Linked DNA regions of Danio rerio. The protein of the gene in region 2 purifies or fractionates together with the protein of the main gene of each other region. This does not show direct contact. Links are inferred from orthologs where the notes say so. Each region holds a gene or a part of one and is shown on either strand. Other genes may lie near its edges.

What was found. The genes of interacting proteins can lie anywhere in the genome.
Region 1: the proteins of ambra1a (region 2) and stub1 purify together in Homo sapiens (affinity purification with mass spectrometry, with the first as the bait; 3 studies listed by BioGRID). This does not show direct contact. The link is inferred for Danio rerio from reciprocal best matches to the Homo sapiens genes AMBRA1 and STUB1.

Annotation. Positions count from the first base shown.
Region 1 is NC_133199.1:43,373,536-43,381,937, forward strand, and holds part of stub1 (E3 ubiquitin-protein ligase CHIP), read left to right. Parts: 5' UTR 1-24; intron 25-2,980; 5' UTR 2,981-3,078; coding exon 3,079-3,201; intron 3,202-4,848; coding exon 4,849-5,047; intron 5,048-6,141; coding exon 6,142-6,307; intron 6,308-7,411; coding exon 7,412-7,487; intron 7,488-7,744; coding exon 7,745-7,801; intron 7,802-7,900; coding exon 7,901-8,017; intron 8,018-8,402. UniProt on the Homo sapiens protein: E3 ubiquitin-protein ligase which targets misfolded chaperone substrates towards proteasomal degradation.
Region 2 is NC_133182.1:39,497,541-39,505,942, reverse strand, and holds part of ambra1a (activating molecule in BECN1-regulated autophagy protein 1A), read left to right. Parts: intron 1-1,334; coding exon 1,335-1,474; intron 1,475-4,940; coding exon 4,941-5,051; intron 5,052-8,275; coding exon 8,276-8,402. UniProt on the Homo sapiens protein: Substrate-recognition component of a DCX (DDB1-CUL4-X-box) E3 ubiquitin-protein ligase complex involved in cell cycle control and autophagy.

The DNA of each region.
Region 1 (8,402 bases), on a different chromosome or scaffold from region 2:
GCGTCAGTCCAGCAGTCAAACCCGGTACGCCTCAAATAATCCATATTTCATATTCAAACCATCTGATTTAATCTCTAAGCGTGTTTATTCTCAGCGCTGACCTGGTTGTTAGCTTGTAAAGTGTGTGTGAATGTGCTTATGTGTCAGGCACAGGAGTTTAATTTCTGATCGACGTGAAATTACATTTACTCGTTGGTAGTGCTTAATTTTAGTGATTAACTGTTGGATTGTGTGTGTTTTAAGTTCACAGAGCTGCATAAAGAGTCATGAATGATTTCACACAACTGTCAGTGTCCAGATGTGTGTTACTGTTGTCCAGATGTGTGTGTGTGTGTGTGTGATGTACATTAAACAATTCATTTTAATCATTTCTACTATATGAACAGCAGCTCTACAAAAGGTGCACGTTAATACATTTCAATCAAAATCAGAAAAATGTAGAGTATACACTCACCGACAGGAGCTTAATGCATTTAGGCATGTAGACATGGTCAAGACGATCTGCTGCAGGTCAAACCGAGCATCAGAATGAGGAAGTAAGGGGATTTGAGTGACTTTGAACGTGGCATGGATGTTGATAACAGACATGCTGGTCTAAGTATTTCAGAAACTGCTGATCTACTGGGATTTTCACGCACAACCATTTCTAGGGTTTACAGAGAATTCTCCGACAAAGTGGAAATATCCAGTGAGCGGCAGTTCTGTGAGCACAAATGCCTTGTTGATGCCAGAGGTCAGAGGAGAATGGCCAGACTGGTTCCAGCTGATAGAAAGGCAACAGAAACTCAAATAAGCACTCGTTACAACCAAGGTCTGCAGAAGAGCATCTCTGAACACACAACACGTCCAACCTTGAGGCGGATGGGCTACAGCAGCAGAAGAGCACACCGGGTGCCGCTCCTGTCAGCTAAGAACAGGAAACTGAGGCTACAATTCACACAGACTCACCAAAACTGGACAATAGAAGATTGGAGAAACGTTGCCTGCTCTGATGAGTCTCCATTTCTGCTGACACATTCAGATGCTCGGGTCAGAATTTGACGTCAACAGCATAAAAGCATGAATCCATCCTTCCTTGTGTCAGCGGTTTAAGCTGGTGGTGGTGGTGTATTGGTGTGGGGGAGATTTTTTTAGCACACTTTGGGTCCATTAGTACCAATTGAGGGTCGTGCAAGTTTTTGCAAGATACTTGTATTCAGCATTTAAAGGCTTAATTATGTTAACTAGGCAAGTCATTGTATAATGATGGTTTGTTCTGTAGCTAATTGAAAAATATCTTGATTTCTGTAGCGCTTTTACAATGCAGATTGTGTTAAAGCAGCTTAACATAGAAGATTATAGTGATATAGTGATAGTGTAAACTGTCAGTCCAGTTTTCAGAGTTGGAGTTCAGTTTAGATTAGTTCAGTGTGGTTTAATATTCAATACTGAGAGTTCAAACACTGAAGAGCAAATCCATCGATGCGCAGCTCCACAATTCCCAAACCAAGCAAGCCAGTGGCAACAGCGAAGGAACAATCTTCACCAATTGACGTGATTGAAGTGAAGGAAAAAACCTGGAGAGAAACCGGCTCTGTTGGGCACGACCATTTCTCCTCTGACCAAACTGCAGAAAAGCAGTCTAGGCGCCGGAGGCTGGAGAACGCTGGATGTCCATCGTGGAGAAGATGCAAGTGTGAGTAGGTCACCGGCGTGTGTTCAGGCTGGCCCACTTGATAAATGTGAGGACTTGTTTGTCACTGGGGTGATTCAGGCATCAGTCTTATGCTCTCAGCTCCTCCATGACAACCACAATATCTGCCAGGCCCGGATTGGCGAACCGAGAGAATTCCTGGTGGGTCGGTCCGTTTTTTGGCCGTGAGGGCCAGTGTCCCTAGCTGCTTGCACTCTCAGCAGTCACACTTTTTTCATTTATTTATTTATTAATTTGACCATAGCCTCACTCTTTTTTTTTGTTTTTCATTATTTTGCCGCAGCGCCGCTCTTTTTATTTATTTTTTTTCTTGCTGCTCCGTGAGCAAAATGCAGCCTGCAGGTTTACTAACGTTAATGATGATGTAACTAATCATTCGACCCCAAACAGTGGCACCTTAGTGATTATAAGAATTTGAATAATTAATATTAATGAATAATACACCTGCTCAATGAAAATCAGATGATTTACTACATTAAATCTGACAAAACTTGATCAGAAATCTAAAAGGAGAAAATGATTTAGCCATCAAAGTAATACTATGTCTTGCCGTTCACAGTGTAATCTTTATTTTTTATTCCCACTGGAATAGCGCCATTGTGGTCCAGTGGAAAGCACGTTGCGTTGCGAAACTTCCGACCCATGTTCGAATCTCACCTGAAAAATTATTATTATTATTTTTCGTTTTTATGACATAATACTGTAAGGGTTGTTGAACATTTGAATTTCTAAAGCAGCTGTTTTCTCAAAAAAGATGTGATAGTGTCATTAGAAACTGAATTGGAAATGACCTTATTTTAATGTAATCAGTCGAGGTGGGCTGGTCTGGCTTGAAACTCCAGGGCTGAAAATGAGTCCCACTCCGGCCCTGATATCTGCTCAGGATACGGCCTGGTCCAGGATTATGGAGACCTCTAGAAGTGCTCTGCGGTTGGCATCATTTCTTCACAGGTCTTGGATCACATCAATGGCGCTGCACAATCTCTAGAGGCCTCGGGATGAGTATCCCCAGGTGGAAATAGAAAATAAAGAAAATAATTAGCGTAGCTGCTGTTCATAGTGTATTTAAACAAGAGATATTAAAAATCAATGCAAAAATCAAGAGCTATAAATGAAAATAGCACTTATATAAACATAAAAACAAACACGCAAAGCATATCATTGTTTCTAACAAACTGTTTTGAATGTATATTCTTATGGTGGCTAATAAAATTGACCCCATAAGAATATTGTTATGATTTTGCACCTGCATTACTGTGGCTCATATTTTCCTTGTGTGTTTCTGAGAGGTTTGCAGGTAACTGGCTCCCCGGGACCGGCCGGTGCTCACCGAAGAGACGGGGAACAGGATTGGGAAGCAGGGGGGAGCGGCCACCGCAGAGCCCATGGAGAAGATGGCGAGCAGCCCAGAGAAAAGCTCATCCGCACAGGAGCTGAAGGAGCAGGGAAACCGCCTGTTCCTCAGCCGCAAGTACCAGGAGGCCGTCACCTGCTACAGCAAAGCCATCGTGAGTGAGGGGTGCTGGGAACACACAGAGTAAATATGTGTGTCAGTTTCAACAGCGGGGGGTTTAGGAGAAATTCAGACTCACAGAAAGTTCAGAATTATTAAACCTTCTGGTAAATAGTTTTTCCCCAATTTCTGTTTAAAGGACACATTTCTAAACATAATATTTATAATAACTCCTTTCTAATAACTGATTTATTTTCTCTTTGCCATGATGACAGCACATAATATTAGACTAGATATTCTTGAAGACACTAGTATTCAGCTTAAAGTGACATTTAAAGGCTTTACTAGGTTAATTAGGGTGAAGTTAGGGTCATTAGGCAAGTCATAATATAACAGTGGTTTGTTCTGGAGACAATCCAAACTAACATTGCATAGGGGGGCTAATAATATTGACTATTAAATGGTTTAAAACAATTATTAAATGCTTTTATTCTAGCCAAAATAAAACAAATAAAATACTGTGAAAAATTCCTGAATCTGTTCAACATCATTGGCAAATAATTAAAAAAGGAAAAATAATTCACCAGAGGGTGAAGAAATCTGCCCTCAACTGTAAATAAATTCAGAAGTTAATTATTGTATAAAAACATCAAATATTTAGTGCTGTTTAATAATAATGTTTAATATGTATACTTCTGTATACGCCATTTACAGAGGAGCGGGTGTATGTTTAAACAGACAAATACACTCAATAATATGTAAACATCTCCGTCCTGCATGTTTTATTTTAAAACTAAAGCTTATTTTCTCTTAAATGAGCGTAAACAGTTTCTAAAGTAATGGAATGCTTCATTATTGATCTGTGCATTCTTACAGAGACACCTCTGTTATCAAACAAAACAAAACATGAGATTCATTTGCTGCTCACTTGTTTGATAACAGGTGTCACTTTAAATGGCGTGTACAGACGCTGAGCTGGGATCAGTTTATTGTACGGAGCGCGTCTGTCAGTCAGCGCTTATACATGCTTTCACTGCTTCAGAGGTTGCATATATATTGCATATTAAAGAAATTGGGATAGAATGGTAAAATATGGGAGAATTTCAGCTAAAACGGGTGGGTTTACGTGAGTGAAGTGAACAGGAAGTGTTTGTGGAGAAACAGTTTTGCGAGAGAACGCAAAACATCTTCGCGAGGGAACGCAAAAACGTAGAAATATATATTTTCCTCCCAACCATATTTTTTTTTCACCCATTATTTTTTTCTCCCAGCCAATTTTTTCTCCTCAACTACGTCCCTTCCGGGTTTCTGTACAATCTGGCAACCTGTGCTTGCGTTTGTTTTGATCAAGGGGTGCAATACCTAGTTTCACCACTGGGTGTCAAACTTACATACTGCACTTATATATTACATTTAAAAAGCTATAAATCCACATAATGTTTTGGTCACATCCATAACGCATGTTTGTTTCTCTCATTTAAAGTATAAAACACACTTACAGATTAATATTTTATGATTAACTCTGTGTTTAGTCACAAATATTAACTGCTATTTCGATTTAATATTAACATAAACATTCTCTGTGAATTTTCAGTTTCAAGTTTGTACTCCAGATGTCACATCCATAATGCTGGAGTTGCTCATGAGTTGTTCTGTATGATCTTGTGTGTTGTATTAAACGTGTCTCTGCTTGTTTGTGTAGAATCGTAACCCATCAGTGGCCGTGTACTACACTAACAGAGCGCTATGCTACGTCAAGCTACAGCAGTACGACAAGGCACTGGCCGACTGTAAACACGCCCTCGAGCTCGACAGCCAATCGGTGAAGGCGCACTTTTTTCTGGGCCAATGTCAGCTGGAGCTGGAGAATTACGAAGAAGCCATCGGCAACTTACAAAGAGGTACACACTGAGCGGATTATACACGCATTTCTAATCATAATAGTTTTAATAACTCATTTCTAATAACTGATTTATTTCATCTTTGTCATGATGACAGCAAATAATATTTGACTAGATATTGTTAAAAATACTAATATTTAGCTTAAAGTAAACATTCCGGATACCTCTGAAATCTGATCTGGCACCTCATTTTACTGATCCCCCTCCTCAACCGCCCTCATCCGCTGTTCACTTTCACTTTCTTTCGCGACTCCTCAACCCTCTCCACTTTCGTCAGCGACACCCCTCTGCCATCCAACGCCCCGCTATCTTAAACACACCCCCCCCCCCTCCACCATCCAACGCCCCGCCATCTTACCCACCCCCTCCTTCAATTTAGTCTGTGCCAAACTTTTGTGTGTGGCACCTCTACATCCTGAGGTAACATGACGGATCTGTTACCCCGATCTGTTCTGGGACCTCGCAATTCACAAATGAAGCACTGCTCACCCTTTTTTCAATCTTTTAAAGCTTTATGAAATTCTTTATTTTATGGAACACAAAAGGAGATATTTTGAAAAATGTTGAAAACCTGTAACCATTGACTTCCATAGAACTTGTTTTTTAATATGAAAGTCAGTGCTCTTCAGCTTTCTTCAAATTATCTTCATTTAATGGGATAGTTCACCCCAAAATTTAAACTTCAGGAGTTTTTTTATTCTGTTGAACACTAAAGAAGATATTTTGAAAAATGTTGCAAACCTGTAACCATTGACTTCCATAGTAGAAAACAAAACTAATTGAAGTCAAATGGTTCCAGGGTTCCAGCCTTCTTTAAAAAATCTTCCTTTCTGTACAGAAAAAAGAAACTCTGACATGTTTTGAACAAGTAAAGGGTGAGTAAATGATGACAGAACTGTAATTTTTGGGTGAAAGTTCTTTCATTAAATTAATCTATTCTCTAATAATGTTGATTTTCTTTTGGTCAATATATTAGTCATTAATAGTATATAAAATAAGTAAACATTATTGGCACAAAATCTCTAAAATGCCCTACAGAATGTCTAGACATCATACAATGTCTGTGATTAAATTGCTCTTTGAATCATTTCCAGCCTATAACCTGGCGAAGGAACAGAGGCTCAATTTTGGAGACGACATCCCAAGTGCTCTTCGCATCGCCAAGAAGAAACGCTGGAACAGCATAGAGGAGAAGCGGATCAGCCAAGAGAACGAGCTGCACGCCTATCTCAGCAAACTCATCCTGGCCGAGAAGGAGAGGTGTGTGTGTGTTTGTGTGTGCATATGTGTTTTTTTTGTATGTGTGTCTGTGTGAGTTTCTTTATTTGTGTGCGTGTTTGCTTGCCTGTGTTTCTGTGTGTGTGTTTGCTTGTGTGTGTGTCTTTGTTTGTTCATGTGTGCATTTGTTTGTGTGTCTGTCTTGTGTGTTTTGTGTGTGCTTTTTGTTTTTGTTTGTTTGTGTGAGTTTAAGTGTGTGCATTTGTGTTTGTGTGTGTGTGTTTGTGTGTGCATTTGTGTTTGTGTGTGTGTGTTTGTGTGTGCATTTGTGTTTGTGTGTGTGTGTTTGTGTTTTTTTTTGTATGTGTGTTTGTTTATTTGTGTCCATGTGGGCTTCTGTGTGTGAGTTTGCTTGTGTGTCTATGTGTCTGTTTGTTTGCTTGTGTGTTTTTTGTGCGTGGCTTTGTGTGTGTGTGTGTGTGTGTGTGTGTCTTTGTGTGTTTGTTTGTGTGTGTGTGTTTGTCTGTGTGTGCATTTGTGTGTGTGTGTGTTTGTGATTTTTTTTTGTATGTGTGTTTGTGTGAGTTTGTGTTTATTTGTATCAGTGTGTGTGTCTGTGTGTCTTTGTTTACTTGTGGGGCTGTGTGTGTTTTTTGTGCGTGGCTTTATGTGTGTGTGTGTGTTTGTGTGTTTGCTTGTGTGTGTTTTCTTGTGTGGCTTTTGTGTGTTTGTGTTTTTGTGTGTGTCTTTTTGTGTGTGTGTTTGCTTGTGTGTGTGTGTGTGTGTGTGTGTGTGTGTACACATTTGTGTTTGTTTTTCTCTGTATGTGCATTTGTGTTTGGTTGTGTGTGTTTGCGTTTTTTGTACATGTGTTTGTGAGTTTGTGTTTATTTGTGTGCGTGTTTGCTTGCATGTGTGTTTGCTTTCCTGTTTCTGTGTGTTTGTGTTTGTTTGTGTGTGTGTGTGTGTGTGTGTGTGTGTGTGTGTGTGTGTGAGTGCTTTTGTGTGTGTGCTTTTCTGTGTTTATGTCTCTCTTGTACGTTTGTGTTTTTGTTTGTTTGTGTGAGTTTAAGTGCGTGCATGTGCGTGTGTGTGTGAGTATCTGTCAGTGTGCTCATGCTTCTGTTTGTGTGTGTGTGTGTTCAGAGAGCTGGACGACCGAGTGAAGCAGTCAGATGACAGTCAGAATGGAGGAGACATTAGCAAGATGAAGTCCAAGCATGTGAGACGTCCACATAAACACATCTCATACCACAGTACAGCACAATGCTCGATTCTGATTGGCCGATGAGCTTTGAAGATGATCCTAAAACAGCTGTAAACCTGTATCTATTGACTGCCATAATAGGAAAAGAAATACTATGGAAGTCAGTGGATGCAGGTTATTCTAATAATTACAGGCATATTGTCGATTATTCCCTGCATATAATCGGTGTATGATTGATGAAGTGATGTCATTTCCTGTGCTCGTCCCTGCAGGATAAGTATCTGATGGACATGGATGAGCTTTTCTCTCAAGTAGATGAAAAGAGGAAGGTATGAAGGGATTTTCTGATCGCTGCACTGACTCTGAAATATCACTGGCCCAAATCCTGCTCCTTGTAATGTTGTCTGTGTGTTTGGGTGGTGGTGCAGAAACGCGAGATCCCCGATTACCTGTGTGGGAAGATCAGCTTCGAGCTGATGAGGGAACCCTGCATTACTCCCAGCGGCATCACCTACGACCGCAAGGACATCGAGGAGCATCTACAGGTGAGACATGAAATCCATCCATCCATATATATATATATATATATATATATATATATATATATATATATATATATATATATATATATATATATATATATATATATATATATATATATATATATAAATAAATAAATAAATAAATATAAATATATATATTTATATTTATATATTTATATTTATATATATATATATATATATATATTTATATTTATATATATATATTTATATTTATATATATATATATATATATATATATATATATATATATATATATATATATATATATATATATATATATATAGATATATAGATAGATAGACAGACAGACAGACAGACAGACAGACAGATCTGGATGCATGTATACTTACCGGCCACTTTATTAGGT
Region 2 (8,402 bases):
ATAAAAAGCAATAATTATAGGAGAATGATAATAAAATATAATATATAAAAGCCTAATAAAATGACAAATAATAATCATTATCTAATAATCAATAAAATGATATTATGATAGTTATATAAATAACTATTGATCAGAGGATTAAATAAAATAATTTAATGAATCAAAATGATTAAAAACCAATCAAAGTAAAACACAACACAAATGAATTGTGTGTTTTTTTTTTAAACAACACACATAAATTTGCCATAAGGTTTCTCAGATGCCTAGTTAGATTCTGCAGAGGTGTAACAAAGATTTGTTTTATTTAATAATATATTTGATTAATTATTTTAATGATTTATTTATAAATTGTTTATAATTTTTTTCTTTATAAAAGAATTGAAAAAGTTTTTTTCTTACTAAGAATTTTTGTCTTGTTTCTAGTCTAAACCTCTATATTTCAAGGCGAAAACAAGATTATTTTACTTAACAAATTGGCAGATAATTTAGCTTGTTTTAAGGGAAAAAAACTATTACTTTCTTCTGGAATTAAAAAAAAAAATTATATTTTCACTTGATCTAAGAATTTTTAGATAATTGGACTAGAAAAAGGGACAAAGCAAAGAAAGAACAGTATTTTGTGCATTGTGATTGTTTCATTTTTGTACCCATTAACTGTTAGACATCCCAATATATGATTTTTTTCAATATCGTGCAGCCGTAGTTTGTGCACCAAAAATCTGTGCTGCACATAAATCCCCTCTCAGAAGAGCCCTATACTGTGTGTTTGAGAGTGAAGCTGCACAACGTCCCTGCAGCATAGGTCCATATGTGCACACACTCACTCTGTTCAGGTGCTGTGGTGCAGATACACACACAAATACGTGCATCAGTCATACATGCTCTCTTCCCTGAGAAACACCAGTCTTTGCGGCTTTTATCCTTGTCCTGAATTTCCTCTGTCTAGAGTAAAGAAGGAGAGAAAGAGTTTGTCTGTTGATCACTCATCTGCAGATGAATGAGACCGCTTTCTCTCTCTCTGGCAGACATGAGCATGTCCTATTTTTGTCCTTTTTTTTCTGGAGCCAGTGGAGTGTAAGTATTATGCCAAGGCTGACAGACAGGGGACAGGGGAATGGATTGGAAAAGAAAGGGAAAGAGTACTTTGGAGAATGAGATTTGACTTTTCGCAGTTTAGCCTCTTCTCAGTTATGCTAGCAGCGCTGTCATATCTGACACAGACTGCAATCTACAGTGCAGAGGATAATGAAAGAACCTGACCACTGAAAAGAACTATTGCTGAGAGTGTTGTGGGATGTTTTAAACAGGTGTGTGTGTGTTTACGTGTTTTTCAGAGGGTGTTTGATGTGGTGTACCCAATGGCACCAGACCAGAGGAGACACGTCAGTATAAACTCTGCCCGCTGGCTGCCAGATCCGGGGCTTGGGCTCGCTTATGGGACCAACAAAGGAGATCTTGTCATCTGCAGACCTGTGTGAGTCTCCTATCATCCCTTCATAGCTCTCTCAGCCCTTCTTGAGGGTCATAAATCACTTTTTCTTGTAGTTTTCTCTCATTAAAGACTCCAAAATGCTGCCGTCATGTGTTTTATAAAGCAAGGTTAAAAAACTCAGCTTGACTCTGCAAAATAATTGCTTGCCAAACATAATGAGCACTTTATTCATCTGTGGGTTGATCAACAATAAATGAGAAGTGATCGTTAATGGCGGTAACCATGATAAAAACAAGCTGCTGTTATATATTCAGTCTGTGTGTTAAAGCATTTGGTTGTTCTGAATTGTTGAACTCAGTCAGTCTTTGCGCTGATATGCCCATCTGTTTTTGTTTTCTGGGTGAGAACAGCACTGTTTAATGTTTATGTAAATGAACATCATACATTTCAAATACTTTCTCGGTTTTGTCAGTTCTTCAGCAGTTTTAAAAGAAGTTTCCCTACTAGCGTTTGGTGTTTGTTAGCGAAATAGACACTAATTAATTCACTTCAAGGATCATTTCCCTCTGCTGTATTTTGGTTGTATAATTTGCAGCTTGGCTGTGGATGTTGCTTTTCTGCAAGTTTGTCATAATTATCATCAAGGTTACCGTGGATACAAAAAGACCACGTTGCAACACAAACATTGTCTCTCCAATGTAAACATGCTCTCACTTCATTAATGCAAACAGTTTGCTAATTGGAGAAAGCAGAAAATTCACAGCCTTATTTTAGTTTATGAACTGGTCTGGTGTCCAGCACTAAGAAAATATAACATTTTGTGGCTTGGACACAAAAAGGCCAGCGGCTTCATTCATAATACAAAGTTTTAAGGCTTTTACACTGTAATCTACCAAATAATGGCAAATGTTTTGTTTGTATGGTTTGTTGTTTTATTATATCTGTTGTCACAATAAAACAAAAAATGCTTTATGCTGCAGTCACACCTTGTCATAATTTACCATGATTATTAAATGAAGCTCACATTAAGACAGCACGATATAAGGAAAAATATAACATTGCAATATATTTCAATATAGGCTTGTTACAGGTTGGAATTTTGTAATTGCTGTGATTCCAACATTTTGTTAGCATACCTGTTTGTGCAATTGCTGTTGTTATCTCATGCCCAGTTCTTTATTTCTATCCTATTCCAGTGAATTTTCCTAAAATGTCTGTCATTTTTGGCTTCTGGCTGAATGCAAATAATAATTTAGTATAAAGATAAACAACGAAAATAAAAATCCAAGGCACTCAAAAAGTGATTTTTTTAGTAGGTGCTGTTTTATAACCTCACCGGCCACTTTATTAGATATACCTTACAACTATCAGGTTGGACCCACCTTTGCCATCAAAACTGAAATTCTTCGTGGCATAGATTCAACAGGGTATTGGAAAATTCCTCAGAGATTTTGGTCCATATTGACATGATAGCATCTCGCAGTTGCAGCACATTCGTCAGCTACACATCCATGATCCGAATCTCCCGTTCCACCACATCGAGCAGTTGGACAGGTGTACCTAATAAAGTGTCCGGTGAGTGTAGATTAGCCATGTTAATTAAGTTTTTTTTATTTTTTTTATTTTATTTTTTTTTAAATGTCACTTACTTTTTGAGTACCTTGGACTTATGATTTAAATGTTTATCCTTATGAATCCCTTACTCAAAGAGTACACCTTAACTACCCCTGAAGCACTTTTTGTTTGATTTTGGATTTTTAATATTTAAGCATGTTACATTTTTAGAAGACATGAGGCTGGAAACATCAGGGCTGGCAATAACACACAACTAACACCCATTATTATTTGCACATCATTTGATTTCAGATGGATGAGCAGTCCAGTCCAATGAACAGTATAATGCACGCTCATTTGTTCAGTATTTTAGTCAACACTCGGCATGGTTGCATTAAATTCGTATGAGTTTGAACAACAAACTGAGTCATTCTCTGAGATCCATTACAAGACCAAGTCCTTTGACTTTATAGTGTCCAAGAGCATATATTCATGGTCTTGGTCTCTTGTTATCAATCTGGAACCACATGAGCTTAGTCTTGATTCAGACTCAACCTCCTTACTGTATATTGGACTCACCAGTTTTTCACACAGGTCAGAGATACAGTATTAGGCATTGCCATAATTTAAATAAAGTTTAGTCCTACTCTTTATAAGTCTTTTGATTTGATTCTCAATCTTAAAATATGTCCTGCTTTGTTTCATTCCCTGTACGCTAATGTACCAGAGGTTTGGAAAATTGGCTTTACCTTTCACTGAAAGCAGGCAGGACCACACACCGCTTTCTCTCTGTCAGCACCCATAAGGCTGTTATTCTACAGCTTTTGATGGACACTGAAGGGAGAGGGATCGATCCAACTGAAACTGGTAATTAGCCTCCAGTGGTTCCAGATATCAGCCTACTCTCATGCTGGGGAACATCCACTCATTATGATGTGTTGGAAAATAAAGGATCAATTTTTAAAGTGCACAAATATTGACATGATATTCATGAATGCCACAAACAGGCCTACACAGCTTGTCCTCCGCCATCAGCTCAAAACAGTGGTGATTCTGAGAAATTAATTACTTTAGCTCTATAATACGCATCACTCATCAGCGCTTTGCTTACAGGTGTTTTTAAACAGGAGATGTTTTGCTCTTTCTTAGTTAGGCTCTCTCAGAGAAAAAAGAGAGAGACAAATGGACAGAGAGAGCAGTAGAAGGGAAAAAGGGGCAAGAACTAGAGCTGGACAGGCCCATTGGGAGGCAACATCTCAGGGAACTCTTGGTTGGAGACAGGTGCGCGGGATGGTTGGATGAAGTGGATGTCAGCCTCTGCAACTACGGGACTGTCAGTGCTATGCTAATGAGGCGCGTAGATGCATTGTGGGAGTCCATGGGGAGCATGGCGAGTTACTTTGAGCTAGGCAAATGAGCAGTCAACGGACTATAGCTCTGACACAGCCGAGGAAGAGGGAGCTTTTTCTTTTTTAGCTGCCATTGTTTAAGCTCTTTGTTCTCGTACTGTGTTTGCTGAAGATTTTATCTCTATTTAAACCCAACAAAGCAAAACGAGGGGTTCCTAAAGTCGGAGCACAATCATTAGTGACAGGGGGTATTTTTTATTTCTGAGAAAATTCTAATGAATTCTTTTTACTTTGTGCTCTGACTCAAGCTATGTTTGTCTGATTTGGTTTTTATTACTTGTTTGTTAAATCAGGTAAACACATTTTCCCTTTTATTCTCCATTGAAGACTTGCTTTATTCATCTCTGTGCAGTTAATTAATGCCAGTGGATGACACCTTTGAATTAAGAATGGTTTAAACCAGTTTTCATTTCATTTGAAATGAAAGTCAATGTTTTTTCTTCTTGCATAAATGACATTGTTGATAAGCCCTTACTTTGATTACAGGCTATTTTCACTTTTTCTTTCTTTGTCTCTGTATGTGACCATGGAAATGTGGCGTGCAGCGATGTGCATTCTGATGGCAGCAGCACCTCTGAACACTCTGAGCGAATGTTCACCATCAATAATGGTGGAGGGGTTGGACCCAGTAGCAGCAGGAGTGGAGACAGGGCAGGGTGAGTATGGACATACTGTTGTTAGGAGCACAAGGACATTGAGCTGGTGTTTTAGCACTTCAAAAAAAATGCCTCATTGTGCTTTATGCATATTACCTATTATGCATTATGCAGTGTGTAATGTTCAGGGTTCCCACAGCTCATGGAAATTCTGCAATATCATATAATTTTAAAAGGTCTATTCTAGACATTGAAAGTTAGTGAATTTAAATATTTTGTTGTTGTTGAATATCATGGAATATCAGTTTTTTTAAACATTTAAATTTTACTTTCCATTTATAAAAAAATTTTTGCATTTTTTTTAATGTTGTTTCATGTCTTGCCTATTAGTCTATTTTTCAGTGTCATTTTTTTTCCCCACTTGTCAACCAGCAAACACTTAAGTCAAATGCAGTCACCAGGCTTTACCTGTTTACCTGCTCAAAACAACAGCTGTCTGTTTTTCTGTTCATTATTGGTCATGGAAATTCATCTTTTTTAGTTAGTGAAAGTCAGGGAAAAGTCAGGAAACTGGTCTCGGGTAGGAATCCTGAATCTACTATAGCTTAAAAAGTCATTGAATAAATAAAGAACTACTACACACATTTTAAAAAATAAAAATAGCACACATAATAGCATTGTAAATCAACCATCTTTCTTTGTTTGTTCAGATATAAATTAAAATTCACTCACTTAATTAATTCACTTTTTTCCAGCTTAGTCTCTTTATTAATCTGGGGTCGCCACAGCGGAATGAACCGCCAACTTATCCAGCATATGTTTCAAACAGTGGATGCACTTTCAGCTGCAACCCATCACTGGGAAACACACATACACTACAATTTAGTTTACCCAATTCACCTTTAGTGCATGTCTTTAGACTGTGTGGAAAACTGGAGCACCCGAAGAAAACCCACACAAACACAGGGAGAACATGCAAACTCCACACTGAAATGCCAAATGACCCAACCGAGGCTCGATCCAGCGACCTTCTTGATGTTAGGCGACATCGCTGCCAACTGCGCCACCAGGCCACCCAAATTAAAAAATTTAAAATGAAAAAAAAAATACAATTTCATAAGTGAAACTTTCATGGACAGCTCTCCAATGTGTAGTGTCATTATGCTTTATCATCAGTGACTGGGGCTTTTCCCGATTCTGTCAGCCTCTTGCCCACTTTACTTTCTGCCTATTGTCCATACCATTCTACCTTAAACGCTAAACAAATCTTTAAACAAGAAAGAGAATTCTTAAAGCAAAACACTGTTATTGTGTACAAAAAATTGTAGTATACTGTATTGTGTGTTACCTTCAAATTATCCCTGGCCAGCCTTTCGCTGTTCAGTGTCCGGCAGAACCAGCATGTCACTTAGTTGGATGGGCATGATAGCAGAGCACAGCTGTGAGCCATGGCTGCTGTTAATTAAGACTCATCACAGCAGCCATGAATCCAGCCTCTGTTGCTGACACTTATTTTGGAAAAAATATGCCTCTGTGAGGTGTGACTGCTCATCCCTTATTGCTGGTCTTCACTCGCTGACACACTTGTCCATAATGAACTTAATGAGACATCTTAGTCTACTCTACAGTAGCAGTGTTTCACCCAAGATTGTGATAAAAGTGTCCATCTACCCTCACACAGCTTCCTGGCCATTTTATTGATTCCTCAGTCCCAGGCTCTGGAGCAGGTGACTATATAGGACACAATAACAGCCTGTAAGCTAATATATAGCTTCATATAATTAAGCATCCATAACTGATAATATGATTGTGTTTGTGTCATATTTGTTAATAGTAGCTTCATTAAAATGTGTTCCAAATAAATTTATCCATACAATCTTTTTTTTTCTTAGGTTATGTCTAAATAAATGACAAAACCAGCTTTGAATGGCAACAGTTATGTCAAGAATCTGTTGACATTTCAATCAGCAAATGAAAAGCAGATTAAATATGTATCTGTAATCCATATTAAAACATTAATATCCTTCAAATTATTTGTATTGCGTGTGCATGTGTGTTTATGGAGCATATGGGGAATTTGGAAATTATGGTTTGATGAAAAGTGTTTAAATTTTTTTGTAGTGCATTACTATGTATTTAACATGGTAAATATAAGTCCAACAGGTATAAATAAGCTAAATGGGGGAAAAAATAAAATGACTAAAATATGACTAATACAAAAAGCCATTTCACTCGTAGGAATATGACTAAATCAAAAATCTGCTGCAATTTGCTGTTCATTTACTGTAGACCCCATTAACTTTCATCACCCTGTTTAAATAAATGGTCTCCCATAAGCATCGATGGTTCCATGTAGGATCTGAGACATCGACACAACCACTTTCCATTGGTTCTTTAAAGTAGAATTGGTTAAAAAAATAGATTGGGTAAACTTTGTTTTTCAGTGTTTAAACTTGAAGAATTCTCCTTCAAGCCGGAGAGGGCCAGCCAACCTTGTCCAGTCGAGCACTATGGCCAGTGGAGTTCAAGTATCTTGGGGTTTTGTTTGATGGAATGTAAGATTGACAGGCTGATTTGTGCAGCAGAAATGTTATCAAATCACTGTTCAATTTACATTCCTACTCTCACCTATGGTCATAAGTTTTAGGTCATGACCGAAAAGACAAGATCTCGAATATAGAGCTGAAGGAAGTGTCTGAGATGAGGGAAGAATGGAGACTCCTGCCCCCATAACCTGGCCCCCTGCATAAGCAGTTGATGATAAATGGACCAAAACCAATAAAGCTTTCCCAAAAATATCTTTGCTTATCCCACAGAGGAATAAAACGCATTGGAATGACACAAGGTCGAGAAAACAGTCATAGAAATTAATGTGTTTTTGGATGAACTATCCCTGAACTGCCTGTGTAATTGTTCAAGGAGGCATTGTTTGGTTTGCTAGCATTGTGCTTGTGTTGTTTTCTCCTGCGGATAAATTACTGCTGCTTGTATTATTCTCAAGTTGTTGTGGGTGAAAGGGTCTGCTAATTATATGCCACTGTTGAACGTCCTCACTTATCCAGCTTTCATGAAAGAAAACAACATTGTGTCAGGAAGGATTTAGCATTGTCTAGCAAGTACTTCTACTGACACGTGTCTTCTTACATCTAGAGCTCCTTCAGCCTTGTGCAGAACTTAACTTTGTTTTGTCAGATTAGACAGGACTGGCCTGAGGACTGTGATAATGTTGTAAGATTGGCTGTAGTGGTCACTCATCCTGCTGTGGGATGTGTCATGTTTTGCAGGAGCAGCAGGACTGATCGACGGTCACGCAGAGACATAGGCCTGATGAATGGAGTTGGTCTGCAGCCACAACCTCCCGCCGCTAGTGTTACATCACAGGGGACGCAGACACAGAACCAGCGACTACAG